Linked DNA regions of Arabidopsis thaliana. The protein of the gene in region 2 interacts with the protein of the main gene of each other region in a pairwise test. Each region holds a gene or a part of one and is shown on either strand. Other genes may lie near its edges. The genes, in order: ATB' DELTA and AT5G65925.

Evidence for each region.
Region 1: the proteins of AT5G65925 (region 2) and ATB' DELTA interact in a two-hybrid assay, tested with the Arabidopsis thaliana proteins (one large-scale study listed by BioGRID).

The regions. Positions count from the first base shown.
Region 1 is NC_003074.8:9,510,330-9,526,522, reverse strand, and holds ATB' DELTA (serine/threonine protein phosphatase 2A 55 kDa regulatory subunit B prime delta), read right to left. Parts: upstream 9,571-16,193; 5' UTR 8,783-9,570; coding exon 7,655-8,782; intron 7,569-7,654; coding exon 7,263-7,568; 3' UTR 6,960-7,262; downstream 1-6,959. Other genes in the region: PRXQ (Thioredoxin superfamily protein), read right to left, coding at 400-618, 712-801, 894-1,034, 1,513-1,716; AT3G26050 (TPX2 (targeting protein for Xklp2) protein family), read right to left, coding at 2,282-2,512, 2,593-2,721, 2,830-2,932, 3,083-3,154, 3,255-3,316, 3,395-3,913, 3,986-4,399, 4,545-4,616; AT3G26040 (HXXXD-type acyl-transferase family protein), read right to left, coding at 5,454-6,782; AT3G26020 (Protein phosphatase 2A regulatory B subunit family protein), read right to left, coding at 9,938-10,243, 10,447-10,557, 10,769-10,801, 10,934-11,137, 11,225-12,160; AT3G26010 (Galactose oxidase/kelch repeat superfamily protein), read right to left, coding at 13,378-14,622. UniProt on the Arabidopsis thaliana protein: The B regulatory subunit may modulate substrate selectivity and catalytic activity, and may also direct the localization of the catalytic enzyme to a particular subcellular compartment.
Region 2 is NC_003076.8:26,362,041-26,377,634, reverse strand, and holds AT5G65925 (uncharacterized protein), read right to left. Parts: upstream 8,591-15,594; 5' UTR 8,514-8,590; coding exon 8,061-8,513; 3' UTR 7,781-8,060; downstream 1-7,780. Other genes in the region: CHY1 (beta-hydroxyisobutyryl-CoA hydrolase 1), read left to right, coding at 55-115, 213-311, 378-479, 556-597, 674-805; ZWI (kinesin-like calmodulin-binding protein (ZWICHEL)), read left to right, coding at 1,241-1,380, 1,471-1,699, 1,776-2,342, 2,428-2,527, 2,611-2,792, 2,870-2,985, 3,098-3,200, 3,321-3,473 and 13 more; AT5G65920 (ARM repeat superfamily protein), read left to right, coding at 11,978-13,312; AT5G65910 (BSD domain-containing protein), read left to right, coding at 14,294-14,822, 14,980-15,167, 15,462-15,594.

The DNA.
Region 1 (16,193 bases), on a different chromosome or scaffold from region 2:
CACATACTAAAACTATTGTGTGAAGACTTGAGTTCTATGTATTCTACACAATTCCTTAAAGCTTTGTGTTTGACAATTTTAATCAAGGGCTAGCTAGAGTTACCTGATATGTGTACCTTACTTGAAGTGTTAATTGATACAAGAGAAAGAGATAGTAGAGGTGTTCACAATGAAAACGAGAGACTCAAATACACAGAACCAACTAACATTTTAACCACACTTCAGTACTTATCCTGTTGTGATCTTTGTACTAGACCAAAGCCAACTCCCTTCTCATTGGTATAACATGGTATTATTGAAAATTCATACTCAACAGAAACAATATAAGAAGGTCATGGTCTCATGGAGACAGACATGAGACATGCATGAAAGAAGAGAAAGAAGAGAAAGAGAGAATGATCAAGCAGCTTTGAGAAACTTCAAGGTCTCGTCGATGTGTTTCTCAGGCTGGAACTGGTTGTTGTAGATGAGCTGAACAACACCGTTTTTGTCAAGAACGTAAGTCTGTCTCCCTGGCAATGCTCCAAACAGGTCTCCAGGCACTCCCCAATCTTTTCTCACCTTATTCCCTTCGTCGCTTAACAATGTATACGGTAGTTTGTATTTGCTTGCAAACGCCTGCAACAATGTTTAAAGTCCCACCACTCTCTTTAAAATCCGGAAAAAAGAAATGGGTTTATTCAAGAAACCAGAGATTTTTGATGTGTGTACCTTGTGAGAAGCAGAGTCATCTCCACTAATGCCAATGACCTCTGCACCAGCTTTCTTGAATTTCTCATAAGAGTCTCTGAAAGCACAAGCCTGTTGTACACAAGTAAAACCATTTACGTTTAGAAACACTAAATATGCGATCAATGAATGCGGGAAGGAGGAGAAAGTAAAGATTTAACAACCTGCTTGGTGCAGCCAGGGGTTTCATCTGCAGGGTAGAAGTAGAGAACAACAGGCTTCCCTTTATACTTTTTGAGGCTCACCGGCTTTCCGTTTTGATCCTTTAGTGTGAAGTCTGGTGCAGCCTGACCCTTGTTAACCTGCTGCCCACCAAACATCACAAAGAGACCAATTCACAGAAGGTTAAAGAGAGTTCATATGCCGTGTCAGCTTAAATCATATGAATAAAGGATTGAACATATTCAAGAACATTCTAGCATTTGCTTATTTTCAGGTATGTGAAAGTTTATGGTCTCTAAAACAAACACTGATTACAAGTTTCTTTGATTTTGTCTTTGATTCTGCACTAACACATTCATAAATCTGTTCTTATAACATTTAAATTCAGACTTAAAACCCAATATTTACATCTTTTGTTTCTTATTCAAAAATGGCTGTGTATCTAACAATCTATTGTCTTGCTAATATTTATATCGTAATACTCAAAAACATATAAAAAAGAAATGGAACAGAACTTAGATTGTCCAAAAAACATTGGTCTAACAAAGAAGCTAATTCCCAGAACTAGTTGTTACCCAACTGTAGCAAACAATCTATCAATGCAAGAGTCGAGAAATGTACCTTGGCAAAGATTAAGCCTTTGAGAGAAGAGGAAGAGACTGGGGAGATATACGATGAGTGAGTGAGTGTGGAGCCAAAGAAGTTAGATTCTGATGATTTTGTGGGAACTGAAAATTGGGTTTTGGTGACAAGGGTCTTTCTCAGAGGGAGAGTACGAAGTGTGGTGTGATTACAGAGAGTGAAAGAGGAAGATGAAGCAGCCATTTTTTTTCTTTTCCTCTACAAGGACGTGATTAGAGCATGTAGTAGAAGAAAAGCTGAAGATATGGAAACATCACACAATCACAGTCCACAGAGATAAGATTTTTTCTCTCACCTCTGAAACGAGAGGCCCACACCACAACAACACAACATCACAACATCATACCAAAACGTCGTCGTTTAAAACAAATGTAAAACAGAAAGCTTTGCCATGTTCCTGTCTATACTAATTCAAGAAAGAAACACAATGAGAAATTGAAAAGTAGACATAATTCTTTATTTCAAATCTCTATGTATACAAATGATACAAGATTGATACTACAGAACTATTGAGTACATAGTTACTTTGAAGAGTAAGTAGACTTGAGTTCTATCTATTCTACACAGCTCCTTAAAAGCTTGTGGTTACACAATCTGAATCAAGGGCTAGTCACCTAAACCATAAGCTTGAGATGAGATTACTAGCTGAAGGGACAAAACTTTCGGAATCTTCAAAGTGAAAAGTCGAATCTTTACGATGATCTAGAGACTTGAAGAAGAGGAATCGATTGATCTGGTTTGTCTCTGGTTAGTTCTGAAGAATATTAGGAGACATATTTTCTTGAGTTCTTTTTGTTGTCTGCTGTTTGGAGGAGGGATGGATCTTGCTGCTTTTGTGCTTCTCCATGACTACTTTTTTGGTGTTGATGATCTTCATTGAGGAAGCTTTATGAGGAGTTTGATGAGGTTTTTTTATGTTCTCTTTTCCTGGAGTTTGGTTCCTGCGGAATCTTGGTGAAGTCAGGGTCATCGGTGTTACCTGCACATGATTATAATGTCATACATCAAAGATTCAATACCCAAATTTATGACAAGTTACAGTCTGAGAGTTGAATATACCTGAAAACCACCAACTTGTGGGTTCTTGTGTTCTTCAGATGCTAAGTTAGTGTTTTGATTTGCCTTGAAGCCGCAAGAAAATTTATCCTCTTTCTCTTTCTTGTTTTTTTCCTCTACTTTCTTGAAGAACTAACAGACAAGACACATCCACAACAAAAGAGATCTTTTTTAAACTACGGCTCTATAAGTCCTCAAATAATCTCAAAGATAAAGTAAAAGGATCTTCTTTAGTTCTACCTCTTTCCTCTTCTCTGCCCTTTCATCACTTCTGAAGACGAAGGGAGAAGATACAGTCAAAGACTTTGCTTTGGTTCTGCTATGAGTTGACAGATTTTCACAGCTGCAAAATGCATTAGACAAAAACATCTCGTCTTATGTCCACATAAATCAGGGAACTAACACAAACACTTTCAATTAACCAACTCAGGCCATTTGCAGTAAGTGACATAAGATAGTATTTCTCTAAGAGGTTGGTACTTAAACCGCTTACCCGACAGAAGGTTTTCTTTGCTCATTGTTGGATATTCTACATGAAACTGAACTCCTTACAGATATGTTTTTCCTGTATATCAGAAGAAGCAAAGTTAATTATAGGGTTGAGTTAATAATAAAGTAATAGTATAAAGCGATGAATTGGTGTTGAAGATGGTTTGATCAGTAACCTTTTGTTTTCTGATAGCAGATTACTGAGAAGAGGAAGTCTGGGTAACGTGACAGCAGAGGCCTGCAATATATGTAAGAGTCAGTCTCAGCAAATATGCTTGGGATATACGCAAGAAGAGAAACTTGGGAAGAGAATTACATTGGTTGAACCGTCTTTGGATGTCTGAGACAATGGTCTCTTGCAGCTTTTTAAAGCTCCCGTTGGTTCGTTTATCTTTGGGAAAAGTTTGTTTCTAGCATTTGTTGAAGTTGTTCCCTGTGTAGTGGAGTTTCTTGCCAGTGTTTTTGGGGCTTCTTTGGTCGTACGAAGAGTAGAAGAAGCAAAATTGAGTGACATGTGAACTGAACTTGGACCTGATCTCTTCTTCTTGTCTGCTTTCACTGCACTCCTAGAACCGTTCTGGGGCCTCCCCACAATAGTTTTCTCGGTATTACTAGAAGAAACACAGCTGATTGACATGTGAATGGGCTCAGGAGGTGATCTACTTCGGTTCTTCGATGCACTAAGTGACCTTGTACTACTCGAGGATGACTCTTTTTTAGTGTTCTTAAGTGAATGATCCAGTTCTATAACAACGGAAGATTCCAGTTTTGAGCTTGAGACCTTCGATCCGGAAGAACTAGGAGGTCTTTCTTTGCTCAAAGAAGTAGAATTGCCCTGAAAACACCATGGACGTTTAGAGAGAAAAAATAAAAACAGGAAATTGCAATGTAACAGAAATGCATTTACCTCATCAGGAACAACCACTGACTTCAAGTTCTCCACTTTACCAGTTTCATCTATTACAGAAATTGATGGAACAACAGAGTCCACCTCATTACTAGACACCTCTCTATTCACCGCTAGTGGTACTTCTGAATCAACGAGAATATCCTTAGGTATATCACAAACAATCTCAACACTATCTTTAACCTTTACTTGTTCAATCTTCTTCGTCTGTGTTGCTGCTTTCCCTGAAGCTCGGTTCTTGAAATGAGCTTCAAAGAAAGCTTTCTTCTCTGCTACAGAACCAGGTTTAGTAAACCTCTCAACCTCTTCCAAGTAACGATTCTGAGTAAAAGCTGACCATCTCGCCCACGCTAGTGTTTCATTCGCATATCTACCAAACGATACTGATTCCGTAAGCACTCGATTCGGTACCACCTGCCAAAAACCAAAAACCAAATCTCAAATTCTCTTCAGATTCATCAAACAACACACTATACACAGAAATTTCACTAGCAAAATCAATCTCTATTATCAAAACCCTAAATCCAAGATTGTAGATTTAGAAATCTTAAGCACTAACCTCGTTGATTTCACGCGATGAAAACTCTGAAGGTTGCGAGAAAGATCTCACAAGACAAATTGATTCTCCCATTTTTTTTGTTTTCTCTGGAGATCGAAAAACCCTAATTTTATCCCCAAATCTGGTGGTTTCGCTGAGAAACTGAAAACTGAAAAATCTTTGTTAGCTTCTTTTTCTTTGGCTGCAAATCTGAAAGTAGGTCCGAACTCTAAGCATATGATTTAAATTTCCCCAACGGCCACTTCCCTTATTTTTATTACGTCATTTATAGAAAACGTTTCATCTAATTGTGGAATCATTTAATTATTATATATATACTACTGTTTACAGAAATAAAATAATGTATTTACATTTTCTAATCTTCCTTGTTTTGTTTTGAACTATGTTTAGTGTTTTTTTATTATCTAATTGTATATAATTATTACGTATATTTTATAGAATGTTTATTTTATTATTATTTTGAACTATATTTTATTATTACGTATAAGCTATCAATTATCATTATGGTTATTCTTGTTGTCCTCTTTTAAAAATATTAGTTAATAATAATAAACACTAATATTAAACTTTTAGTATTAAGTTATGAGAGTGTGCTCCAAGTTAAATTTTATTTTTAGTGCTTAATTAATATTAATAGAGAGTAATGAAACTGTCTTTATGAAAAAAAAAAATATGACAAAAATTCTTTTTGTTTTTAAATTTAACATGAGATTACTTACAAAAATAACTTCTGAATTTATTAGTATATAATAAAAAGGTGATTCTTCAGGACTATTTATTTATTACATCACCAAATTTTGCCCGTTATTTTAATTTCAACCTTTTTAGTGGCCTCCCAACGGCTAGTCAAAATAGAACCAGTTTTTCAACAAATATATCCGGTTTAGCTCACTAAACCGGTTTTTATAATCAGAGAACATGAAGAAAAGGTTGGATCACACTAGGATTCAGAGAAGCGAATTGGAGCAATTCTCTATCTTGTTCAAAAAGATTCATCTCTTGTTCATTCAGATTCACCCAAGCTTCAATTCCACCAGCTTCTTTCGTGTCGAGAAGCGTCACGATGTTCTTCTGTCTAACCGAAGGAAACCCGACCCAAACCGGTTTTCCCCAACCGAAATCGGTTTCGTATAAACCGAATCGACAAGCACTTGAGAATATGTAGAAATCGAAATCTCCACTTGCAATCATATCTCCTGCTTCTTTCTGGTAGCTACAAATGATCTCTGTGGCATTTGGGTTTCCTACAAGCTTTGGTATATGGATATCTCGAAACCTCTGTTTCGCTTTTCGTATTTTCGAAACCAAAGTTTGAAGCTTTGTTTGGTTTATTCCTTCCTCTGCTTTTGCTGCAAAGTAGCTCACTAGATTCCCTATTGAGTTCTTTGTAAATGGTGGAGAGACTCGTGAGCGTAGACTCACGGAGTTTGCCAGAATTGACGGTTTCGATGTTCCTGAAACTGTTCTTGTAGCTTTCATTGCAGATTTCCATATAAGAGCTGAAACAGCTTCGACTCTTGTTGGTTGATTCACTTCAAAGCTTGAAGCTTTCGCTTGCAGAGCTTGAATACTCGAAGAATCGAATATGAATCTCTTCGAAAGAGTCTGATTCATCATGATCTCTGGCTCAACCACTGGTGCAGGGGAAGTCTCAGAGAAGTTTCCAGGTGGGAAGATCTTAACCGTGTCGAAAACCGGAGCTCCAATGGTTTTGATCGACCCTCGGGACGAGATTGCAGCCCAGCTCTTCATGAATAAACCGATAGAAGTTGCGTCAGCGAGTTTATGAGAGATACAAACTCCTATAGACATGCTTCCACATTCAAAGAAACTCGCTTGAGCAAGAAGCAGTCTGGTTCGTGTCTCTATGGAATCAACAGATGTAGGAATCAGTTGTTGCAAGCTGTCAGAAGAAGGCTCTAGTAGGAGATTCGAAAGCGGTGAATTGACTCGTGCTTCGAGGAAATCAGCGCCTGAGTCATTACAATCGATACTTATGTTGCCTTTGAGCCGTCCAGCGAGAGGGTAGAAATGAGTTAAAGTTTCGGATAACGACTTCTTCAGCATCTGCAATTGCTCAGTTGGTTTGATGCTGTTGTTAGCTGAATAGAAGAAAACCATAGGACCAAAGATCGTTGGACCGAGCTGTTCTAAAAGAGAGAGTTTAAACTTCTTTAAGTGGTTTGGAGTTGGAGATGATGGTTTGATGATATCTCTGGAGACAACATCAACTCTCATCTGGTGAAACCTCCTGACGAAAAACCGACTAAGAGTCATCGCAGAGAGCTTTTCTTCGGTTTCTTGGTTAGAAGAATAAACCTGTTGTAACAGAACCTTTTAACAGACAAAATCCAAAGATACTTGCAGGAAAATGCCAACAGATCCTCTGTATACTAAAGGACGAAATCATTATTCCAGAAACAATTTTTATATTAGAGCAATCTCTTTCACTGATAAACTAAGTGACTTCAGACAATAGAAAATTCGTGTTTTCATAACAAGATGTTTACATGAACCAAGTATACAGACAAATCAAGAACTGAAAAAGGTAAAATCTCACACTGTTTAACTGAATTAAACTAGTCTTAAAGTCGAAACCAGATACTTAAATGAAGCAAGCAAAGCAAAGTAAATGTATATACCTTTCAGGCGTAAAGGAAACAAAACAAAACAATAAACCGATTTCTTGTTGAATCACGTAAAGTGCAGAAAAAACTCTTACTTCGCCATTGAAGCAACAATCTCCTCTAGCTGTCTCCAGGTTTCTCCATTCTTCTTTTTAGTATCTTCTGCTTTTTGCTGATCTTCTTGGAACTTGTGCAAACATTCTTCGAATAAATCAGGATTTGTATCGGACAAAACCTTGAGAACATTCTCTGTCAAGTTCTTCACAGCCTGATTCCAATGGCTGCTACCGTTTTTCTCCAAAGCGGGAAACACTATAGGTAAAATGATTCTACTGTTCTGTCTCACTAAATTAGTGACATGATCGTTGTTCCATAAGTATAAAGCCCGTTCCGCTACCTAAAAACACAGAAGCAGTTGAATTTTATGAACAATTCAAGAATCTAAGAATCAGGTAAATGTACCTAATAAACTCTTAACTGTACCTGAAAGTGAGAACTGCTCAAGCACTGAGCAATTTGGCGAGAGAGCGGAACCATACACCGTTCAAACTCTGTTAATTGAGTTGCTTCTAGTATCTCCTCCAATTCATTCAAGAACATGATTTCTTTAGCGCTATTAGTAACAGGCCAGTACTTCAACATCCCTCTAATAACGGTATCCGCGAGCTTACAATCTTTCTCAACAAACTGTATAACGCAGTAAGAAAGCTGTTGATGGTAATTTGGTAAGCATTTCAGCTTGTGCAGAGGAATCAAGACACGAGTAAGAAAGAGCTTGTGTTCTTCCTTGAGTGGTAAAGCGAATCCATTGATGATGGATCCTAAAACTTCAAGAAACTCGGCGATTCCCGAGTGTTTCCCTGTCTCGAATATAAAATCATACAAGATGTTGTTCATAGTTTTCCTGATGAACGGGCGATGAACCATAAACCTCCCGTAGATGCGGTGAAGTATCGTTTTCAGATACTCTCTTTCCCTCGGATCTTCAGAATCAAACAAATCCAATAGCTTGAGAACGAATGTATGATCGATGTATTTCTTGGATATCTTGGGGTCTGTGTTGGGAGATGCAACGATTCTCAAAAGGAACTCATAAACAATCTGCAAGTGAGGCCAAGAAGGATTCAAAGATCCTTCTTCTTCTTCCAAATCCAATGCCTCAGGAGTTTTGTTCTTCCATTGTCGATGAGGATTACTAAAGAGATTCGCCGAAATCATCTTGGTAGCTTCTTGAATAACTGATTCAGGGAACTTGCCATTCCCTGAAGAGATAACATAATCCACAACTTCAAGAAGTGTTTGCCTTTTGATCTCTTTCTCCTTGAAGTTCTGTTGAGGCTCAGCTACAAAATCAAACACTAGACAACATAGTCTAAGCTTCTTAAGAAACAGTTCTTGCTTCTCAGAGATGGAAACATCTCTCAACCTTGGCAATACATCAAAAGAAGAAACACAATCCAAACTAGTATCTCCATTTGATGACGTTCTCTGGCTTAAAACTTCATCACCTCCTCCTTGATTGTTGTTGTTATCTAGAGTTTGGGATTCACCATTATCCCAAAACTTAGCAGAAGTTTTCTTAGGAAGCTTCCCAAGTATCTGCTTAAACATCTTCTTCGATCTATTTAGTCAAACTTCCTCAAACTCAGATCAGATTCTTCAAAAACAGATCTCAGAAACTAAAAACCCGAATTGAAGAAAGATAGTGAAACACTCCTAAGATCATCTCACCACGCATAAGAACAACTCTTGTGAACATAATAGATCTCGAGAGATTATGAATCATCCAGACAAAAGCAAAAGACGAAAAGCAGACAAAACCATGACCCAGAAGGTAAAATAAAAAAAAGGTAGTAACTTTATATCATGAATGAAGCGCGTGAATCGTTTCTGGACCCAGATAGCAAGATCTAGATTGATGAATCATAGAAAGAAGCAAACTTGGGTCAAACCCAAGTAATCTAAACAATCGAAGAAGAAGAAGAAGAAGAAGAAGAAGGAAAGGGTTTAGCTTTTCATAGCTATTGCTTCGTTGGCATAGAGAAGAAGAGAGAGAATGGATAAAGATTAGAGAGTAAAGAGAGAGAGAGATAGAAAGAGAGGATGGTGACTGAGAGAAGACCCTAAGACCAGAGAAAATTTTCACTGACCAAGACAAGAAACAACATCTCTCGACAGTGTTTTTTTAGTTGAAGTCATAACCATTAAAAGATTCAAATCCAACCACTAAACCGATCTCTCCATGAAGATCTTTTCAGAGTTCCTCCTAGACTTATGGAGTTCGTAACCAAATCCACAAACCCAAAATACTCAAACCAACAATTTGGTCTTCTCTCTTTGAGTTTCTGTTGAAAACTTAAAAAAACTTTTTTTAAAAGGTGTTTTTTTGCTTATAAAGATACGATTTTTTTTCTGATACAACTGAAAATACAAAAGGCCAAATCCTATAAGTGCAATATTTGCAGGTATCATGAAAGCAGAAGATGAATGAATAAGACAAGTCTCAAGAAAGTGGAACAAGTGATGATCATACAATGTAGCAAAAATAACCCATTTTAACAAGCAGGAAGATTTAAGAGGAAACAAGAAATAAAAATAATGGAAATCAAAACAGGAACAATCTTACATCTTTGAGTTTCCTTTTTCCTTCAAACCAAGAGACCAATATGAAACTTTTCTCTTCTCAAGTATGTATCTGAAGAACAACATGTCAATAGAAGATACAGAAGCTCTCTTTCTCTCTCTTTCTTCTCTACAACTCTAACTTTATGAAGCCTTTCGCACTCCGAGTTCTTCCAAACGTTTCCAAGTGGCTTCACGTTTTGCTTCGGTTTCAGCTGCTTTTGATTCATCTTCCTTGAACTTTGCGAGGCATTCTTTAAATAACTCAGGGTCAAGGTCATGAAATATCTTTCGCACGTTTAGTGTCAAGCTATGAACAGCTTGGTTCCAATGTTTCTGTGCGTTTCTCTCCAACGCTGGGAATATAATTGGAAGAATGACTTTACGGTTTTGCATTATCAGATTCTCAATGTGATTGTTGTTCCATAAGAATAAAGCTCTCTCTGCAACCTGCGAAAACCAGACAGAGCATGAATAGACTGAAACAAAGATCCTGAACCTACTAGACTGATCTTTTCCCGTGAAAGATCGTATGCAGTCACTGTTTAGCCAAAACAGATACCCTTCAACGCAATACTTTTTCTTCTTTTGTAACTTTCTACTTAACAATAGCCTTACTATATCAATTTAGCTTAGAAATTGCCTTGAGTAACACCTAGAGCTGAATATAACAGTCCTAAACATTGATACTTTCCATACCGCAAAATCAACTCTTCCATTTGCTCGTTTGATATAACTGGTAGGCTATAACGACTTCTCATAAGCTGGTAAGGTAACACAGATATACTGGCGAAACACTAACACAATTAAAGTATGTAACCATAAGCCTTATTTAGCTAAGAAACTGCATCAGATATTATCCAGAACACAATACAACAGTCCTATACGTAGATACTTTCATTACCACAAACCCAACTCTTTCATTTGATCTTTTTATATAACAATCTAATAGGCTAACATAAACAGGTGAAACACTAATGCAGTTAAAGTATGTCGAAACGATATGGCCTGCAAATGTCAAACCCAACACTAACAGCAACAGAGCATTTTTCAGGAAATGTCAAAGCACGGGGAAATTCGCCAGTTTAAAAACAAATGTGAGGTGCTATTATTTCAGAAAGAATGGAGAATGACAGGTACCTGAAAATGCAGACTGTTCAAACATCGAGCTATTTGGCGAAACAGTGGTACCATGCACCGTTGAAATTCTGGTGGCTGAGTTGCTTCGAGTACTTCCTCCAACTCGTTCAGAAACATGACTTCTTTGGAACTGTTTGTCACGGGCCAATATTTCAACAATCCTCTTATAACCGTATCAGCAAGTTTGCAATCCTTTTCCACAAACTGTGTGATACAATAAGACAATTGTTGATGATACATTTGCAAGCATTTTGGTTTGTGGAGAGGTATCAAAACTCGAACAAGAAACACTTTGTGCTCGTCTTTCAAGGGAAGAGCGAATCCATTGATGATACTTCCCAAGATTTCTAGAAACTCAGCAATCCCATTATGTTTCTCTGTTTCGAAAACAAACCTATAGAAGATGTTGTTAATGGATTTCCTGATGAAAGGTCGGTGTACCATAAATTTACCATAGATCCGATGGAGAATGGTTTTCAGACAATCTCTTTCTCTAGGATCCTCGGAATCAAATAAATCCAGTAACCGCAAGACAAAAGATTGATCTATATATCTCTTAGCCAGCTTGGTGTCAGTTTCAGGCGAAGCAACAAACCTCAAGAAAAGCTCATACACAAGCTGCAAGTGAGGCCACGCAAGATCCATGGAAGGTTCTTCCTCCTCCAGGTCTAAGGCATCGATAACTTTATTTTCCCGTGGTTGAGGATTTAGCGTTCTAAATATGTTAGCAGAGACCATCCGAACGACTTCTTGGATACCGACTTCGCTAAACTTTCCATTAGGAGAATTCACATAATCCACAAGCTCCAGCAATGTCTGCCTCTTAATATCTTTTTCCTTGATGTTCTTTGTAGGATCCGTGAAATCAAACACTACACGGCACAAGTTCAACTTTTTAATGAACAAGTTTTGCTTTTCCGTGTTTGGAACATCTTTAAAACTCGGCAATGCTTCATAAGGAGTAAAGACACCGTTGTTGTTGTTGTTGTTGTTGTTCCCACTACTCTTTAGATTCCCATCTTTAAAACCCGAGTCAGAAGCAGCGGATTTGCCGGCTGGAGAAGCGTTCTTAGCATGCGATTTCGCGGCGCCATTATCAGTGCTTTTGGAAGTAGAGGCACCTGAAGTATGAGAAGATGAAGAAGAATGGCCACCGTGTTCACGTCCACGATGTTCGTGCTTTGAAGACTTTTTGTTGGGAAGCTTACTTAGAATCTGTTTCCACATAGTTTCTTATTCTCAACACCAGAACAATTCAGGTTCTTTAATCATATCCCCAAAACAATCACACTTCTTCGTCTTTTCACCATCTGAGAAAAAAAGCAAAGTCCATATAAAAAAAAACTCAAATCCTAGATCAGCCTAATAAATTTTAGAAACAGAATCAAATCACAAACCTGAGATCGATACAAAATCCCAAACTTTCCCAGATTACAACAACAGCCAAAAAAAAAACCTTTTTATCTTCTTCTTCTTCTTCTTCCTTAATCACAACACCCTTTTGTACAATCTAACAAAAAAAAATTCGAACTTTACGGCGATTCCAGTTCTTCTGAAACAATCGGAAAATGAAACAATCAAAAGCTGCACATTTCCCCGAAAAAACAGAACCTTTTTGAGATTGATTTCAGACAAGAGACTAAAACCAGAAACAAGGGCTTCGATAAAATACGATTGCTCTACAAAAATCGATAATCGGAGATGGCATAATTAGAAGGTCAACAAGAGAAAATACCCAGAAAAGAATACAACGATGATGTTGATGATTCTGATTATGATGATGATGATAACAACATTCAAAGTTCTTCGGACCTTCGTTGTTGTTTGTTGACTTGAGATTTTTTTGTTTTTGTTTTTCTTCCCCTTTCCTTTGGAAGTATGAATTTTTCTTTCTTTTTTTTTGGAGATGAATTTTCTGCTTTATTTTTTTCTTTTTCTTTTTATTATTCTCGTGATCTAGTTTTTATAATTCGATAGGTTTGATCCAACGGTCTCAGTTTCATCGATCGTACTTTTTTGCTACTTTATTTTTTTAATTAATTTATTTGTTTTAAAATAGTATTTAATTATGTGGATTGGGCTACCAAGTCTTCTTGTGTTTTTTGATTACGAAATTTTGAAGCGGGCACTACTTTACGCTACGTACGCCGTCGTTTAGTTCGTTTTGCTAGTACATATGGTAAAGCTATCGAATAACATATCTTTAAGAAACTACGTGCGGCTGGAATAAAACTGCAATTGAAGAAACTCTTGTTCAAAGGAAGTGACAATTTGTGTAACAACTTAGAAAGATGAAATGGCAAAACATGTCATTGAACTGATACAAAAATAAGAAGATGCAAATATTGCATGATATGGATATGGTTGTCTTCCATTACATAGATGGTACTAGATAGAAGAAAGAAACCAAAAGACGAGAAAAGAAAAAAAAGCAGATATTGAAATCATTGATGAAGCCAATTCCTTATCATTGTCTCTTGCATTGAAGTAACGTAAGAGATTACCGAAGCTGTATTCATCATCTCAACTTGGGGAGGACAAGGCACCGATTCCATCCACCGTGGGAGAACAAGTTGTAGTAACCTGACAGAAGCTTTACAGCCGCATATCTCATCCATACACTCCTCACAAACAGGCTGGTTCAAGTAACAATCTTTATGATCTTCATCATTATCTTCAGCTCCGAGGATTCTATTCTTCTGAGTCCGCAAGTTCCATGATACCACATGACGATGATCTTGACTCCAAAGATGGACAATGTCACTATCAAATGGATGCATTGCCATAGGTACATAATCACCGATAAGTGACGGGAGGCCGATTTTCCACAAAAGTTGCCAAGTTGAATCATTGTTCAACCTCCAAGCCTTGAAAACATTAGACGAAGATTGAGCTAATGTTCTGATATACATGACAAATCCTTGGGACGTAGTCAAAGCACCTTTGAAGTCGCTATTGAAGCCGTGATTCGGATGATCCGGGAGAGGTATAACCCAAAACTGATCGGAGATTTCAGAATAGAAATCATAAGCTACGAGCACTCCAGGTTCACTAAGATGGTCAAAGTAAATGGTACCATCCAAAGTGAAAGAACCAAAGTTGGTGATTTGATAAGGGCAGTGAATAGTCTTACAAGTCCAAATCCCAGTCTCAGAGGAATACACAAACACACTCAAAGAACACGAGACATAGTTATTCGTCACTATTACTTCAGCTAACTTAACGACTTTGAAGCCCAAAACAAAGCCATCATCGTCGACGCGAGACACCAAACCAAACACTGAAGAGTGAACTGGAGGTGGAGGGATTTTGATCCACTGTTGTAAAACTGGATTACCCACAAAGCAACAATCATCATCATTTTCTGAAATCAAAACCAATCCATGGGAGGAACCCTCGATAATACAAAGAGACGATGGGATGTAAAAAGATAGAGACTTTGGAAGACCCCATGTCTCGCATCCATGGAAACCTACGAGATCTTTTTGTCCGTACCACATTAGCGACCACGAGGTTGAGGATTTTCGGTGCACAGACACAAAGAGACGGCGGAAATAGACTGATTCGATTGTTGATTTCCATGTTTTGCTTACCGATTTGAATCTAGCGATGATTCTCAGTGGTAACCTCGCTAGAATCTCCGTCCATATCGCATCAGTGAGATGTATGGTTCGATTTCGTGTTTCCATTTTCGAATTTAGGGTTTCTACTTTCTGGACAGCTGAGAAAAGAGGACTGAGTCAGGGACTCTTGCTTGCTCGACTCAACTTCTTTTTTTGCTCAAGACCTAATGGGCTACTTCTCTTTTTCTCAATACCTTAATGGGCTACTTCTCTTTTCTCAATACCTCATAAGGCCCAATCAGAAACCTTTTGAGAAGAAGCCATGACTATTTTTCAGACACTTCTTAACTTGTGAAAAAACAAGAAGAGAAAACCAAATATTATACTTCACATTTTCAATGTTTAACGTATTCTGACTTTATGACTTATTGTATTTTTTAAACAATTTGTATGTGTTGGAATTGTGAATCCTAAATTAAATCCTGCAACAAGGAAAGCTTCAATGAGAAGAAAAGAAGAAAAGAGAAGAAGCTTCAAGCGTAAAAAAAGGAGTAAAAGGAAGAAGAAGACCCTAATATGGGAAAGACAGACGACGACTCCAATGACTTAATTTTTTTTGTCCAAACCTTATTATGGGCGACTTCTCTTCTCAAGACCTTATGGGCTTTACGGGCCCAATATTACCATGTTTCAACGTGTTTGATAAAAAAAAACAATTGTTACATTTTCATTTGACGTATTTGTACTATTTAAAGTTTTTTTCAACACTTTGTAATATGACTTGACTTCTATTATTCTATAAACTATTGACCCAATAAATATCTTATAAAAAGTAATCGTTTTCTGTTGTGTTCACTGAACAATTATTTTCTTTTATTTCTGGAATATGTCACAAAGAAGAGACGAATCTTGGAAGTTTTAAGTTCATCTTTTATTATTATGTTCCAAGTTTATATTCTTCTACGAAGTATTCCTTGCTAAAACACGGTATATATCAAACTTTACGTGTTGTTTTATAGAACTTATTAACAAATATTATTTGGTACACTTTCCTTCTTATTTATTTTTTAAAAACCATTAGACATGATTTTAATAACTGGTTGTCATTAACTAAGAACACATTTCTTACCTGATTTGTGCTTTTAAAATGCCAGTTTTTGTTTCACAAAAAAAAATAATTTCAGATTTTATATTGCCTTGGTTTATTGGATCGTATTTAAGATATCTATCTACAAGATATTTTTTTTTGTTTTTTTGTTTACTAAAGCTTATCTATGTACAAGATACAACTATCTTTATTGCTATATCACATCTATTTATATTCTTTTATTGTGAATCTTTGTGGTTTTTAAAGCAAAACATTATTTGTTCCACTTTCTAGGTATATAAATCTACCAAATAAATATGTCTCAAACTCATGGCACTGAATATTTAATGAATAAATTTGGAAAAATGACCTATTTTTGGGTTTTCATTTGAAAAATACCCTATCTTTATTTCTTTTTTTAAACAATTAATTTTCAATATATAAAGTACTAAAACAGCTTCAGTAAAATTAGGAAATAACAAAAAAAAATTAAAACTTAAAACAAAAAAAAAATCATAAATACAAATTTGATGTAACTAATAATTTTAAAGATAATTATTATCTTAAATATTTTTAAACAAAATGTTGTCCAAAAAGTAAAATTAAACTT
Region 2 (15,594 bases):
AATTTATAAAAGTGCAGAGGACAGTTATTTTTTATCTCCCCGTTTGTTGCGCAGGTTAGATGTTATTGATAGGTGTTTCTCAAGGAGAACAGTCGAAGAAATTATATCTGCACTTGTAAGCTTTTCATTTATATATAGAGATGTTGACTTGCGATCCTGAGTTGACTGATTTACCTTTGACAACGCACTCTACCATCATATGTGTTGCTTAGGAGAGAGAGGCCACTCAAGAAGCAGATGGTTGGATCTCAGCTACCATTCAAGCATTGAAGAAGGGTTCACCAGCAAGCCTTAAAATCTCTCTTAGATCGGTTAGTTCCCAGAATGTGCATCACAGGCAATGTTGACAAAGAGCTGACTGTGAGTATATATTTCAGATAAGGGAAGGGCGATTGCAGGGGGTGGGGCAGTGTCTTATCCGCGAGTATAGAATGGTGTGTCATGTGATGAAGGGAGAAATCAGCAAAGATTTTGTGGAGGTTTTGCAAGCTTTTTCCATCTGAAACCGTCTTTGTTGTAGACCGTAGTTACAACAGCGTGTCTTTACTTATGCAGGGGTGCAGAGCCATATTGGTAGACAAAGATAAGAACCCAAAGGTTTAACAAGTCTCTCCATTTGTTATTTGTGGTTGGTAATATGTGACATTGTTGATAACAATATCTGAAATTATAGTGGGAGCCAAGGCGACTGGAGGACATGAAGGATAGCATGGTGGAGCAGTACTTCGAGAGAGTGGAACGGGAGGATGATCTAAAGCTTCCGCCAAGGAATAACTTGCCTGCTTTAGGGATCGCAAAGCTGTGAAGTGGAGAAGGTGATGGAGCACTATTGTTTACGTCTGTGGGAAAGAAAAAAGAAAATAAATGTAACAACACTTGTGTTGAATAGGACTTGCATACATTACATAAATCATTATTGTATTTGAGAATTGACACCAAAGCAGCAGAGCAGAATTGTGTTAAGATTTGTTAATGGTGTTGGAGGCACAACCATGGCAAACGGACGTGGAAGCACGTCTATAGTCATTGTTCATTTATTTGATTGAGATTCCTCCTTGGTCTCATCTTCTGAAAACGAAAAATAATTAGAAAATCAGGTGAATCGTGAAGTATTGAATGAGAAGAGGCAATTAAAAATCTCCCGTGACTCTCGTCTCCCCATCTCTCTCTCTCCCTCTGCCCAAATTTCTGGGGCAAATTTGTTCATCAGATCTACTACAATCTCTCTTTTTCTTCGGGTATGGAGGGCCAACGAGGCAGTAATTCTTCGTTGAGCTCTGGCAATGGCACCGAAGTCGCCACCGACGTTTCTTCTTGCTTCTATGTTCCCAATCCCTCTGGAACCGATTTCGATGCCGAGTCGTCTTCTCTTCCTCCTCTGTAAGTCTTCTTTGAATTTTTAAAAACATTCACTCTCTTGCTGCTGTCTCTGTTGATCCTTCTTCTTTGAAAATTTGAAAACATTCTTAGTCTCTCGCTCTGTCACAGCTCCCCAGCTCCTCAAGTGGCATTGTCAATTCCTGCGGAGCTTGCCGCCGCCATTCCCCTCATCGATCGCTTCCAGGTTGAAGCTTTTCTGCGGCTAATGCAGAAACAAATCCAGTCTGCTGGGAAGCGTGGCTTCTTCTATTCCAAAAAGTCCTCTGGCTCCAATGTCCGCGAGCGCTTCACATTTGAGGATATGCTTTGCTTTCAAAAGGTTTTTCTTTCCCCCCCTTTCTTCCCCATTGACAATCCATTGACTGAATATGTCTCTCTCCCCTTCCTTCCTTCAGGATCCAATCCCCACATCTCTCCTCAAGATTAACAGCGATCTCGTCAGCCGTGCTACCAAGTTGTTTCATCTCATCTTAAAATATATGGGTGTTGATTCATCTGATCGATCTACGCCTCCCAGTTTAGATGAACGCATTGACCTCGTTGGAAAGCTCTTCAAAAAAACTTTGAAGCGTGTTGAACTCAGGGACGAACTTTTTGCCCAAATCTCCAAACAGACTAGACATAATCCTGACAGGCAATACTTGATCAAAGCTTGGGAATTGATGTACTTATGTGCCTCCTCTATGCCTCCTAGCAAAGATATCGGTGGATATCTATCTGAGTATATTCATAATGTCGCACACGATGCAACTATTGAACCGGATGCTCAGGTTCTTGCTGTTAACACTTTGAAAGCTTTAAAGCGCTCTATCAAAGCTGGTCCTAGGCACACCACACCTGGTCGTGAAGAAATTGAAGCCCTTTTGACCGGTAGAAAGCTCACAACCATTGTCTTCTTTCTCGATGAAACTTTTGAAGAAATTTCATATGACATGGCTACCACAGTGTCTGATGCTGTTGAGGTATCTTCTTGCTTTCTTTTTTCATAATTTACCGCTGATCATATTCTTGTCCCTTTTTCTCTCACTGCATTGACATCTGTTTCAGGAGCTAGCTGGAACAATTAAACTATCAGCTTTCTCTAGCTTTAGTTTGTTTGAATGTCGTAAAGTTGTTTCAAGTTCTAAATCATCTGATCCCGGAAATGGTATGCTTTCATATGACTGGCTTCGTCATATATTGTGAAGTAATACAACATTATCGATCATTTTTCTATCTGTGCACTTGCAGAGGAATATATAGGATTGGATGATAACAAGTATATTGGAGATCTCCTCGCAGAATTTAAAGCTATTAAAGATCGAAATAAAGGAGAGATACTACACTGCAAACTGGTATTTAAAAAAAAATTATTCCGAGAGTCTGATGAAGCTGTAACAGATCTGATGTTTGTGCAACTTTCGTATGTTCAAGTGAGCATTTTCTTCATTGGTGACATTTATTTCCACACAAAAGGCTTGCCTTTCGTTGCTGACACACATATATGCAGCTGCAACATGACTATTTGCTAGGAAACTATCCTGTTGGGAGGGACGATGCTGCACAGCTTTGTGCCTTGCAAATTCTTGTTGGGATTGGGTTTGTCAATAGTCCAGAGTCATGCATGTTAGTTTTCTTAAGCTCCGCCATTGACTTTATTTTAGTTGTCCGATACTTTATTTTTCCAATTTTCCTCCCTTAACAATATCATTTCCTTTCTCAATGTATCACATATCAGTGATTGGACATCACTTCTTGAGCGGTTTTTGCCAAGACAAATAGCAATAACCCGAGCAAAGCGTGAATGGGAATTGGATATCCTTGCTCGCTACCGTTCAATGGTAGGAATAGTTCTATGCATTTTGATTGTCTTCCCCTTTCTAGATACCTTTGGCAAATAAAAACCCATTGAAGTGATGGCATGGTAAAATGATATTTCGTATGTGTATGTGGGCATGTAGGAGAACGTGACCAAAGATGATGCAAGACAACAATTTCTACGGATACTGAAGGCACTGCCATACGGGAATTCAGTTTTTTTTAGCGTACGCAAGATAGATGATCCGATCGGTCTTTTACCTGGGCGAATCATTTTGGGTATCAACAAACGTGGGGTTAGTCTCAATATAAATGTTATACATTATGACTTTAAAAAAACTGTTATTGTTGTTTGGAATTCAAATCTATGTTGTTGGATTTGAATTTGTTGTTTGCTTTCTTGTAGGTTCACTTTTTTCGACCGGTTCCTAAAGAATATCTGCACTCTGCTGAACTACGTGACATCATGCAATTTGGCAGCAGTAACACTGCTGTCTTTTTCAAAATGAGAGTCGCTGGTGTTCTTCACATATTTCAGTTCGAGACAAAACAGGTTTAAACATCACTATTTGTGGATCATTATATTATGAAGCAATTCCTTATGAGATATTCAATTTGGGTAACTTGTATGTTTGTAGGGAGAAGAAATTTGTGTTGCTTTGCAAACACATATAAATGATGTCATGTTGCGTCGTTACTCCAAAGCTCGATCTGCTGCCAATAGCTTGGTTAATGGAGATATATCTTGTAGTTCTAAGCCGCAAAATTTTGAAGTGTATGAAAAACGTTTGCAAGATTTGTCTAAGGCTTATGAAGAGTCCCAAAAGAAGATTGAGAAGGTACACATTCTAACAAATTTCTTATTTATTCTTCAATGTAAAATTGAATATAATAGAGGGAGGCTGATCTTTGTTTAAATACATGAAATAACTTATTGTAGTTGGATTTTTTCATGGTTTTTATGCTTGGTAGTCTTGAGATATTTCAGTATATATCACCCTCCTATCTTATGTTATTGTATGTAGAATGTTATACCATGACCTCTTTTGTTTTAGAGTGGCATGCTGATGAACTATTCGTATGTTTTATGTTGTTGTATAGTTGATGGATGAACAACAAGAGAAAAATCAGCAAGAAGTTACTCTGCGTGAAGAGTTAGAAGCTATACACAATGGTTTGGAGCTTGAAAGGAGAAAATTGTTGGAGGTTACTTTAGACCGAGATAAACTTAGGTCATTGTGTGACGAGAAGGGAACAACTATTCAAGTTAGTTATAACCTAACTTTTGTCTTTCTTTTGATGCTTGGTTGAAGTTATTTAATGATTTATTCTATATATGCTATAGTCCTTGATGTCTGAACTGCGAGGAATGGAAGCAAGGTTGGCAAAGTCGGGCAACACAAAATCAAGTAAAGAGACAAAATCAGAATTAGCCGAAATGAATAATCAGGTGAATATTATGTGTTTAAATCTAATTCATTGTAATCATTGAGTTGTTGTTTTTTGTTTCCAATTCTGCTTTCCTTTGACAATGAATTTTAAGTCACAGATATTATACAAGATCCAAAAGGAGTTAGAAGTTCGAAATAAGGAATTGCATGTCGCAGTTGATAATTCAAAGAGGTTGTTGAGTGAAAACAAGATATTGGAGCAAAATCTCAATATTGAAAAGAAGAAAAAAGAGGAGGTGAATTCTATGTATTAGATTTATTGAAGATTTCAAATTGAGAAGTATCAAATACTTGCGTATTGTTGACATCTCATTATTTCAGGTTGAAATTCATCAAAAGAGATATGAACAAGAAAAAAAGGTGTTAAAGCTTCGAGTTTCTGAACTTGAAAATAAGCTTGAAGTACTTGCTCAAGACTTGGATAGTGCTGAGTCTACGATTGAAAGTAAGAATTCTGACATGCTGCTGTTGCAAAATAACTTGAAAGAACTTGAGGAGTTAAGAGAAATGAAAGAGGTAATGGTACTCTTTTGTCTTCTTCATTATTTAATTTTGTTTCTGTTTGAATGATGATAATGTATTTTCGCGATTCAAAATTGAAGTAGAGGGATGTGTTTACATTCCAATTTCATTTTCTTAGGACATTGACAGAAAAAATGAGCAAACAGCTGCCATTTTGAAAATGCAAGGAGCCCAACTTGCTGAGCTAGAAATACTTTATAAGGAAGAACAAGTTTTAAGGAAAAGATACTATAATACCATAGAAGGTAACATAATGCTCAAGTATGTACAATGATGTTCATTGCTTTTAAAAAAGAATTTTACTAACATTTTTATTTGATTGTAGATATGAAAGGGAAGATTAGAGTTTATTGTCGAATAAGACCTCTAAATGAAAAAGAGAGTTCAGAGAGGGAAAAACAAATGCTGACAACTGTGGATGAGTTTACTGTTGAACATCCATGGAAAGACGACAAAAGAAAGCAACACATATATGATCGCGTATTTGACATGCGTGCTAGTCAAGATGATATCTTTGAAGACACAAAGGTATTATTGATATGTAACTGTGTTCATTTACCTTTCATCCTTTGTTATTTTCTTGTGGTTACTAACATCGTTTTCCTTTTAACAGTATTTGGTACAGTCGGCTGTAGATGGGTATAACGTTTGCATCTTTGCATATGGTCAAACTGGTTCTGGAAAAACTTTCACTATATATGGGCATGAGAGCAATCCTGGACTCACACCTCGAGCTACAAAGGAACTGTTCAACATATTAAAGCGAGATAGCAAGAGATTTTCATTTTCTCTAAAGGTAATTTGTTATCCTAATAGATGATGTGATAAAAGATTATGACATCAACTGACTACAAAAAGTTATGCAGGCATATATGGTGGAACTTTATCAAGACACACTTGTAGACCTTTTGTTACCAAAAAGTGCAAGACGCTTGAAACTAGAGATTAAAAAAGATTCAAAGGTATTGTGAGATATATCTATTTTAACTAGGTTATAACTAGATTGTAGACACGTAAGTTTGATCTTATGCATAAAATATTTTCTCAGGGAATGGTCTTTGTAGAGAATGTGACAACTATTCCTATATCAACTTTGGAGGAACTGCGAATGATTCTTGAACGGGGATCGGAACGACGACATGTTTCTGGAACAAATATGAATGAAGAAAGCTCAAGATCTCACCTCATATTATCAGTTGTTATTGAAAGTATTGATCTTCAAACCCAGTCTGCTGCGAGGGGCAAGGTGACAAAATTCACTATGTTTTTCTTTATTGACTCATTATCATTTTTCACAGGATTTAGTAGCATTTAGGGATTTTAAGGAAATAGGAGTTTCTTTAGATTTTCATGCTTAGTCTACCGAAGAAAAATATAGTAACATTAATCTTGTTTAAGAGAGATATTATTTTACAGCTCAAATCTTTGGTCTGGTACAAAATGTTAAACCTTTATGTACACAATCCATATTATTAGTCAATGATATGCCCTCCATTGTTAAACCCATATCACCTGATCATGGTGGTATCTTCTACAATATTCTGAATTTTTGTTTGTTATTTGCAGCTGAGTTTTGTGGATCTTGCTGGTTCTGAGAGAGTTAAAAAGTCGGGCTCAGCTGGTTGTCAACTCAAAGAAGCTCAAAGTATCAACAAATCACTTTCTGCATTAGGTGATGTTATTGGTGCTTTATCTTCTGGCAACCAGCATATTCCTTATAGGAATCACAAGCTAACGATGTTGATGAGCGATTCATTGGGCGGCAATGCCAAGACGTTAATGTTTGTTAATGTGTCTCCAGCCGAATCAAATTTGGACGAGACGTACAATTCTCTTCTGTAAGTCATGAGTTCCCATATATATATAACATAAATCAAATATGCTTAGTGTAAAAATGGATAATCCATATTGTTTTTTTTCCTCCTTTGATTCCAGATATGCATCGAGAGTGAGAACGATCGTGAATGATCCCAGCAAACATATATCATCCAAAGAGATGGTGCGATTGAAGAAGTTGGTAGCATACTGGAAAGAGCAAGCCGGTAAAAAAGGTGAGGAAGAAGACTTGGTGGATATTGAGGAAGATCGTACACGAAAAGATGAGGCAGATAGTTGAAGAAAGCTGACATGAAATTCGTCTAGGTGAAATTGAGACTATAGTATCACTGGTTTTCACCATTCTTTTTGTAGGAAGTTCCTGCTTTATAGTAGAGTTTCTATCGAAGAGTAGTCCTATATGTCTCAAACTTTCTCTCTTTTGATGAGATCTTCATTACAAGAAATGAAAAAAAAAAAAAAAAATTCGTAGATATTATATGAAGCTGGTGAGAACCATACAAACATATAAAGATAACCCCATAATGTCAAAAGTTATGGTATACGGAGACTAAAAATTCAAACTTTTAATTTAAGGGAAAACTAGACTATAAATTCCATTTTGTGGATTGGAGAAATAACAAAAATTCACCAGTAAAATTTAAGGATTTACACGCAAGACAAATGTAATCCATACGTTGACATTGGGTGATGTAAAGTTGAAGGACTACTCTAATGCCTAGAAGAAGGAAAAAAAAAAAAAATCTCTTTTTGTTTGACCTTTTTTTTTTTGAATAAAACTTTTTTTCATTCCATGATTTCTCATCTGTCTCGCATTAATACTAATTCAGTGTTCGTTGAAAACGTAACTCAAAAATGTCGAAATTGACACAATGAAGGACTACTTTCACTATGTCTGCAATCTAGACTGTGTATTCCGTACTGAAATTTATATACAAGCAAGAAAGTCTATAAGCACACTTGAACAATGCACACAAAATGAATTTCTTTCAGCTGTTTAGCGTTTTTGTATCTAACCAGAAATGGAAGAAGAAAGAAACGAAAATGAGTATGGTCATCTTCATTTTCTTTCTTTTATTGTTGATGAGTAGTGAAAACTCCACCGATTTTTCTTTTTTTGCTATAATCCTCTTCTTCAAACTGATCACAAACCTTCTCTTCATCAATCCTTCCCATAACCATACAACTATAATTTCTCCGGAGATCCATCTGTCGTTTCATAGCCGTCGTCTCCACCGTGATTTCTCCGCTGCTGGCGCCACGTGTGACAAACCGGCAACGTTCACGTGTTGTCGTGGCCGAATTTAGGGTGAAGCTACGAGGGAGAACGGTGGTTGGTGCTTCGCAGATTTGGAAATTACCGGGTGGTAAGCCAAAAGCGCCGGAGCCACCACCACCGCGGATGAAACCGGCGGAGCATGACGTCATGCTACGTATGTAAGCGTCACGTGCCATGATCAAGAAACGAACCGGAGATTTCACCAACCTTGCTAAATTGCTTTCTTTCTTCATTTCTTTAGCTTTCATGATTTAAAGTGGAATAAAAAAAAGTTGATATAAGAGATTACAGAGAGAGTGAGAGAGAGAGGAGATGCGACTAGAACAGGAAGATGCCGTGTATGATAGACTTCGTTTTAAATGCATTTCAGAAATAATAATTATTAGGGTATGTATATATAAATGTATCTAGTTGGATGTTTACGGTTTGGTGATACTTATCTTATTAAAAATTCACAAAATATTAATCTATAGTTTAATTTACTTTGGTTAAGTCAAAATAAGGTTGAAGTTGTAATCTTAAGGGCCGGCAGTTTTAATTAGTATTAATTTTTTAGAAATTTCTTGAAGTATTTATCCATTGAAGCTTAAACTTGCTTACAAGCTCAATAGTCAAATAACAATTGCCAAAGTACACGTCTATATGTCTTTAAACACGTTATCAAAGCGTACAACAACAAAAATATCAAAGTCGAAATTATTATTATAATTAATATGGATTGAGATATGGCACCAAATTTCTTGCATTAAAAATACTGAAATAATGATTTAGGGGGAGTGAGAGATTCATTGGAAGGAAAAGAGAGTATATAAGAAATTGGTGGTTACAGTTGACTTGATTTACCAGTTTCACTATCAAAATTTAAAACCAATTTGTCAAATAAGAAAGATTTTGCTTCAACTTGATTTGTTTCTATAGAGATATTTGACAATGGATTCAATATGTTGTTGGCAACTTGAAATGAAAGCAATAAATTCATCGCTGACATATCTATCTGCACTTTTATAATTTCCAATTATAACTTGCCCCACATAATAAAGTTTTCGAAAGTCAATTTGTAACCTGTATGTCTAGGACGAGATATATTAAATTTTTGATTTGCATCTTTAACAACGACAATAAAAATTCTCGATTTTGCATCTTTATATTTTTGCATAGCTTATTGGGCTTCTTAAATCCTATCATTCACGAAGGCCGTGTACAGCATTTTGATGTACCATTTCGAAGCCCTCACAGCCCAACAACACAAACATTATTATATTTTCTGATAATCGTAGGCATGGTAAAATTTTCAGTTTTAGACCCAATAATATCGTGAATCGAGTTCTATGTTATCCAATTATCATGATGATACTATATGAATTCGCAAACGAATATATCCCGAAAAATAAATCAATTCATCAAGTTAAATTATGATCTGCTGAAAAATTAATCATAATTTGTATCACTAACCTAAAAATAGCGAAACAACATGTTAAATAATCTACGAGTTTAGGACTCACGTGACAGTCTATGTAGCTTAGAAACAAAATACAAAGCGCAATGTGATGTAATTATTCAAATACGACAATCTCAATAACTCATTTCTAAGTTAAATAATCAAACAAATTTAGCAAATTGAAAATTATGCAGGGCAACTCTAGGCACAACAATTATATAAATGTCCTGATATGTGTTCTGTTCATCAAACAATATTTAGAACAACCCTAACCAGCCTGTAGTCATGGTCACTAGGTCCCTTCTCTAGCACATACAAACAGCCATTTATTAGTTAAAAATACTAATTGTATTATCGTCACAATCAATATGAAAATTCACATGGTTTTAGTCGTTATTACAAACACGTCACATCGACTTAAAACTCTTGCCGGTCCGCTTTAAGTTTACTAGTTTGACCGGGAAACTCATAACATCGACAACATTGAGATCATTCATTGGCAATGAATTCATTGCCTATCAATAGCCATTGATAACATACTCTATAAATTAAAAATACTAAGAATTCAAAAATAAACTAGCAATTAATTGTAGAACTAAAACTAGTTGAGTGAATCATACTTTTGTTAATAACACATAATTAAGATTGAATCCGTGTGATATTTGAAAACTTGGTTGGAATATCAAAATTCTGCATTTCTGGCAGAGTACTCAACTCCAACAAAAACAACACATGGGTCTCAGATCTCTCTGCTGACACTCCCATCAATTTTCGCTTATTAAAATTTATCTTCATTTAGTTAAATTTGTAGTATTAATAAAAGTTAACAACATTCATTAATACCGAAGATTAGGAACGAAAAGAGAGACGTGGAAGGATATAAGTGGTGACAGAGCAGTCAAAGACAACCGAGACACGATCGAGGCGTACAGTCAAAGCAACACACACTGTCATATGGTCAAACGTCTAGCTGGATCTTTTGCATGTAGTGGACCCCATACTTCTTTATTTACACTTTTTCTTTTTTCTTTTTCGTGCCAATCTAGGAAATAAACTTACTAAAAATTGAAAAATATGTTCTTACAGAGAAAAAATTGTTGTTATTCTTCTAATTAAGTGGGAGTAATACTACGGATTTGTTTAAGCAAATATGTTCCATTTCAATAGTATGAAACGAGAAAGAGTAATGCTTTTGTTTTTCCATGTATTTACTCATTACTGCAATTATTCTTCATAGTTTCTAGAATATATAGACTGTAAAGAAAAGTGTTTATAAAAAACGAGATTTTTAGATTTTTGTTTGAAAAAATAGAGAATTGTTTATAGCAATGATAATGATGATTCAAATAAAAGGTTAATGAAGTAATTAGGCCTTGAAATGAACGTCGCACGTGACCCTAACCTGTCCTCGTGGGTATTTGTAGTTTACTTAGCAGCTTTTTTTACTTACGTGCGGGATTTTCTTTGCTCATCGTCTAAAAGACCATAATACCCCCTTCATCTATTTTTCTTCTTAATTTACTGAGATAATACTTTATTGTTTTTGACAACACATCGATTTCAGTAGCAAAAATTAAAGGGAAGACCCAAGAGAGTGCTCTTTTAAGCAACATGATATTTCAATGGAACACAAAATCAATATGAAGATTTATTATTTGGTCTAAAAATATTTAAAAAAAAAACACCTCAATTTTTTTTTTAGCTAAAGATGGGTACATATGGGTCAAGCCAAGGACAAAATGGGTATTTAACCTCAGGATCTGAGCTTGCACGTGTGGCGCATGGGTCGAGAGATGAGTTGATAACCGGCTATAGCCTGTAAAAATCTCGGTCAACATAATCTGTGTTTTTTTTTGGGTTTTTGTCTGCTTTTTAGTTTTTTCCCAGCAAAAAGAGTGAAAAAGAGAAAATCTTTGGTCCAAACCAAAAGAAACGTTCCCTTTTTTTAATTTGTCTCTTTGCTTTAATAATTTCCTTCTCACCGAAACACACACCACAACCAATTCTCTTCTCCTTCTTCCTCTTTCACAAATTCGTCATCTGGGTATTCTTAAATTTCTCACAAATTCATTTACTTTTTTGTTCTGTTCCGAGATTTCAAGGTTCACTATCGATTCTGAAACTCTTGGAACAATCCAGATTCTTGGTTAGCAGGTGGGGAAGCATTAATCATGTATTTATGATACACTGCTCCATTATTATTACGAGAGAGTTGAAAGTTTCCTTTTTGACTCGTTTTTAAAGGCAAGGAAGAAGAAAGACTTTGTTTTTAAAATGCCAATGTTTCAGCCTTCTAAGAACGGTGGGTTTGATGGGCATATCTTAGATCTACACTCGGCGGTTAAAGACGGTGTTCTTGGCGGCGGAGATGGGAAATTTCTGGTGGTTGTTACCGATGAGAAGAAGAAATTGGATTTGAAGGAGATGATTTCTGAGCTGGAATTACCTGAAATACCCTCTGTTTTCATCTGTCCTATCTCTCTAGAGCCGATGCAAGATCCAGTGACCTTGTGTACTGGTCAAACCTACGAGAGGTCCAACATTCTCAAATGGTTCAATATAGGGCATTGTACTTGCCCAACGACGATGCAAGAGCTTTGGGATGATTTGGTCACTCCTAACAAGACTCTTCACCAATTGATCTACACTTGGTTTTCACAGAAGTATGTTTTGATGAAGAAACGATCTGAAGATGTGCAAGGACGTGCTATTGAGATTCTGGGTACGTTGAGAAAGGCTAAAGGGAAAGCAAAGGTTCATGCTTTAAGCGAGCTTAAGCAAGTTGTGATGGCTCACGCTATTGCTAAGAAGACTGTTGTTGATGAAGGTGGAGTCTTTGTGATCTCTTCTCTTTTAAGTCCTTTTACTTCTCACGCTGTTGGATCTGAGGCTATAGCTATTCTTGTTAATCTTGAGCTTGACTCTGATTCCAAAGCTGGATTGATGCAACCAGCTAGGGTCTCGTTGATGGTTGATATGTTGAATGATGGTTCGATTGAAACTAAGATCAATTGTGCTAGATTGATTGGAAGGTTGGTGGAGGAGAAAGGTTTTAGAGCAGAGCTTGTTTCTAGTCATAGTTTGCTTGTTGGATTAATGAGATTGGTTAAAGATAGGAGACGAAGAAACGGCGTTTCGCCTGCGTTAACGCTGCTCAAATCGGTTTCTGTTCATAAACAAGTTAGGAACTTGTTGGTTAGGATTGGTGCAGTTCCTCAATTGGTTGATGTTTTGCCATGTTTGGATGTGGAGTGTTTAGAGTCAGCTCTTTTCGTGTTGGATTCGTTATGTTTAGAAAGCGAAGGCAGAATTGCTTTGAAAGATTCGGTTAACACGATTCCGCATACCGTTAGGTTACTGATGAAGGTATCAGAGAAATGCACAAACTATGCGATATCGATTCTTTGGTCAGTTTGCAAATTAGCTTCTGAAGAATGTTCATCTCTTGCTGTTGAAGTTGGTTTGGCTGCAAAGCTTTTGCTTGTGATACAAAGTGGATGTGATCCAGCTTTGAAGCAACGTTCAGCTGAGCTATTGAAGTTATGTAGTCTACATTATTCAGACTCAATGTTTATCTCCAAATGTAAACTCACAAGAACTATCCAATAAAAGACTGATCAAGTTTTCACCTTTCGGGTCAAAATCACACAACGGATCTGCCCCATCTTGTTGATGTATATAGAAATGAAGAAGCTCAAGGAGTATGAGAGTAAGAAACGAGTTTCGATGTGTTGAATTCTATTTTGCAATGTTATTTGAATAATAATAGTTAAGTAGAAGTAAACTGTATAAATCTTTTTGTTGTGGTTGGTTCATTATTCAGTAGAAGAATAGATTGAAGAAAGGAATCATTTTTTTGGCCTCTTGTAAGTTACTAGCTGTTTGTGAGTCATAATAATTGGAGAAATTATTGATCTATGAATCGTTTTATTTGACACTCTTATAACCCTTAGTGATTCTTGATAGAACAGTAGGATTAGAAAACAGATATGGGTGGGTTTCAGATTTGTGGAGGGGAATAAAAGTCTTATTTTTTGAACATGCATTGGTCTGATTTGTATGCACTGTGTAAATGAATGAACAATTGAAAAGAAAGGATGATTTGACTTATGAATCGTTTCAACAGTTCACTGTTTGTTTATCTCTGTTTTTTATTTAATTGGCTATGAGAATCTGAACATATCTCTTGGAAACATTGTATCAGTGAGTGTGATGTCACTGATGTGAGAGCTCTTGTCTGGAAATAAAATCTAAACACAGTTACCAAATCTGGAAAACAATTTGTCTCAAGTTAGAAAAAATAAAATATAAATAATTTCCCGAATAGGAGCTATCTTAAGATGGGCCTTAGTTGAACTATATGGGCTATTATCCAGGTCCAGTAATATTTTGACAGTCAATACAAAATGTCGTCTTTGGCTCTAAATTGGATTAAGCTATTAAGTAAGATAAAGATTACAATATTTAAATTAGATATTGATTTAGACGGAGATTTCATTATCTATCTCTCAAGTTTGATTTGCTTCTGCTGTAACAAAAAGATCACGATCGCAACTTGTGTGTATGTGTGTGTGAGAGAGAGATTCAGATATGGCTTGGTTAGCTAGATCCATAGCGAACTCACTCAAGCTCGATGAGGAAGATGAAGATGATGATAAGCATCTGAATCAACAGCCGTCGGAATCTGTATCGGATTCACAGTCTCCACGAGGCGTTAAGGAAGACATTAGCGAACTTACCAAGACCTTGAGAACCCAATTTTGGGGTGTAGCTTCGTTCCTCTCGCAACCTTCTTCATCTCCGGATCTTCAGGAGAGAAATCAAACTCCCGATCATCCGGAGGAAGATGAGGATCTAATCGCTGGGATTAAGAACGATTTCGCTGAGATTGGTGGGAGATTCAGGACTGGGATTTCGAAACTATCTGGGAACTTACCTGTGTCTGAGTTCACAAAGATCGCTTCGAATTTCTTACAATTGAGTTCAGAAGATGTGGATCCGAAAGATTACGACGTAATCGGAGTTACAGAGGAATTAGTTGCGTTTGTGAAGGATCTTGCGATGCATCCTGAGACTTGGTTGGATTTTCCTTTACCTGATGACGACGATAGCTTTGATGGTAAGTTTTAGTTTCAGATCTTTCCTTATATATCTGAAATTGTTTCTGTGAATAGTGAAGTTCAAGTTTGATTTTGTTTTCAGTTTATATGCTTTCATGATTGGGGTATTGGGTGTTTCAGTTATTCTCAATTGTCTGTTTTTAAATCAATTTTCAGACTTTGAATTGGCCGATGCTCAATACGAGCACGCTTTAGCTGTAGAAAGGCTAGCACCGAGCTTGGCTTCTTTGAGGATTGAGCTTTGCCCTGAATATATGACTGAGAATTGCTTCTGGAGGATTTACTTTGTTCTTGTGCATCCTAAACTCAGTAAAGACCATGCCTTGCTTCTCTCCACTCCTCAGGTAAGTTTGGATTCTCAACTCCATTGCTTACAAATGTCTACCTATTTCCTTGTTTTCAAGTTTATGCCTTTCACATTGTATATAGTTGTAACCCTATGCCTGATGCTAATCATACTCTTCTAGAAAGTTATATGGTAATCCAAAACAGTGATCCTCATAAGTGAAGAGTTGTAGCATGTCAATCAGGTTTGCTAGATTTGTAAGCTTCTAGGTGGTGCTACTTCAGGTTTCCTGCGATAAAGTTAGATCATTTATTGTTCCTGTCACTAATTTTTTTTGCCTTTGCTTATGAAGGTACTCGAAGCAAGATCAATGTTATCTCAGGAACTACAGAAACGAAGCAAATTACCTGTAGAAGCAGGGAGTTCTGAAGCTAATACTGTCATTGTGGAACCTCTTACTGTGCCTCCTTCACCAGAAACAGCAG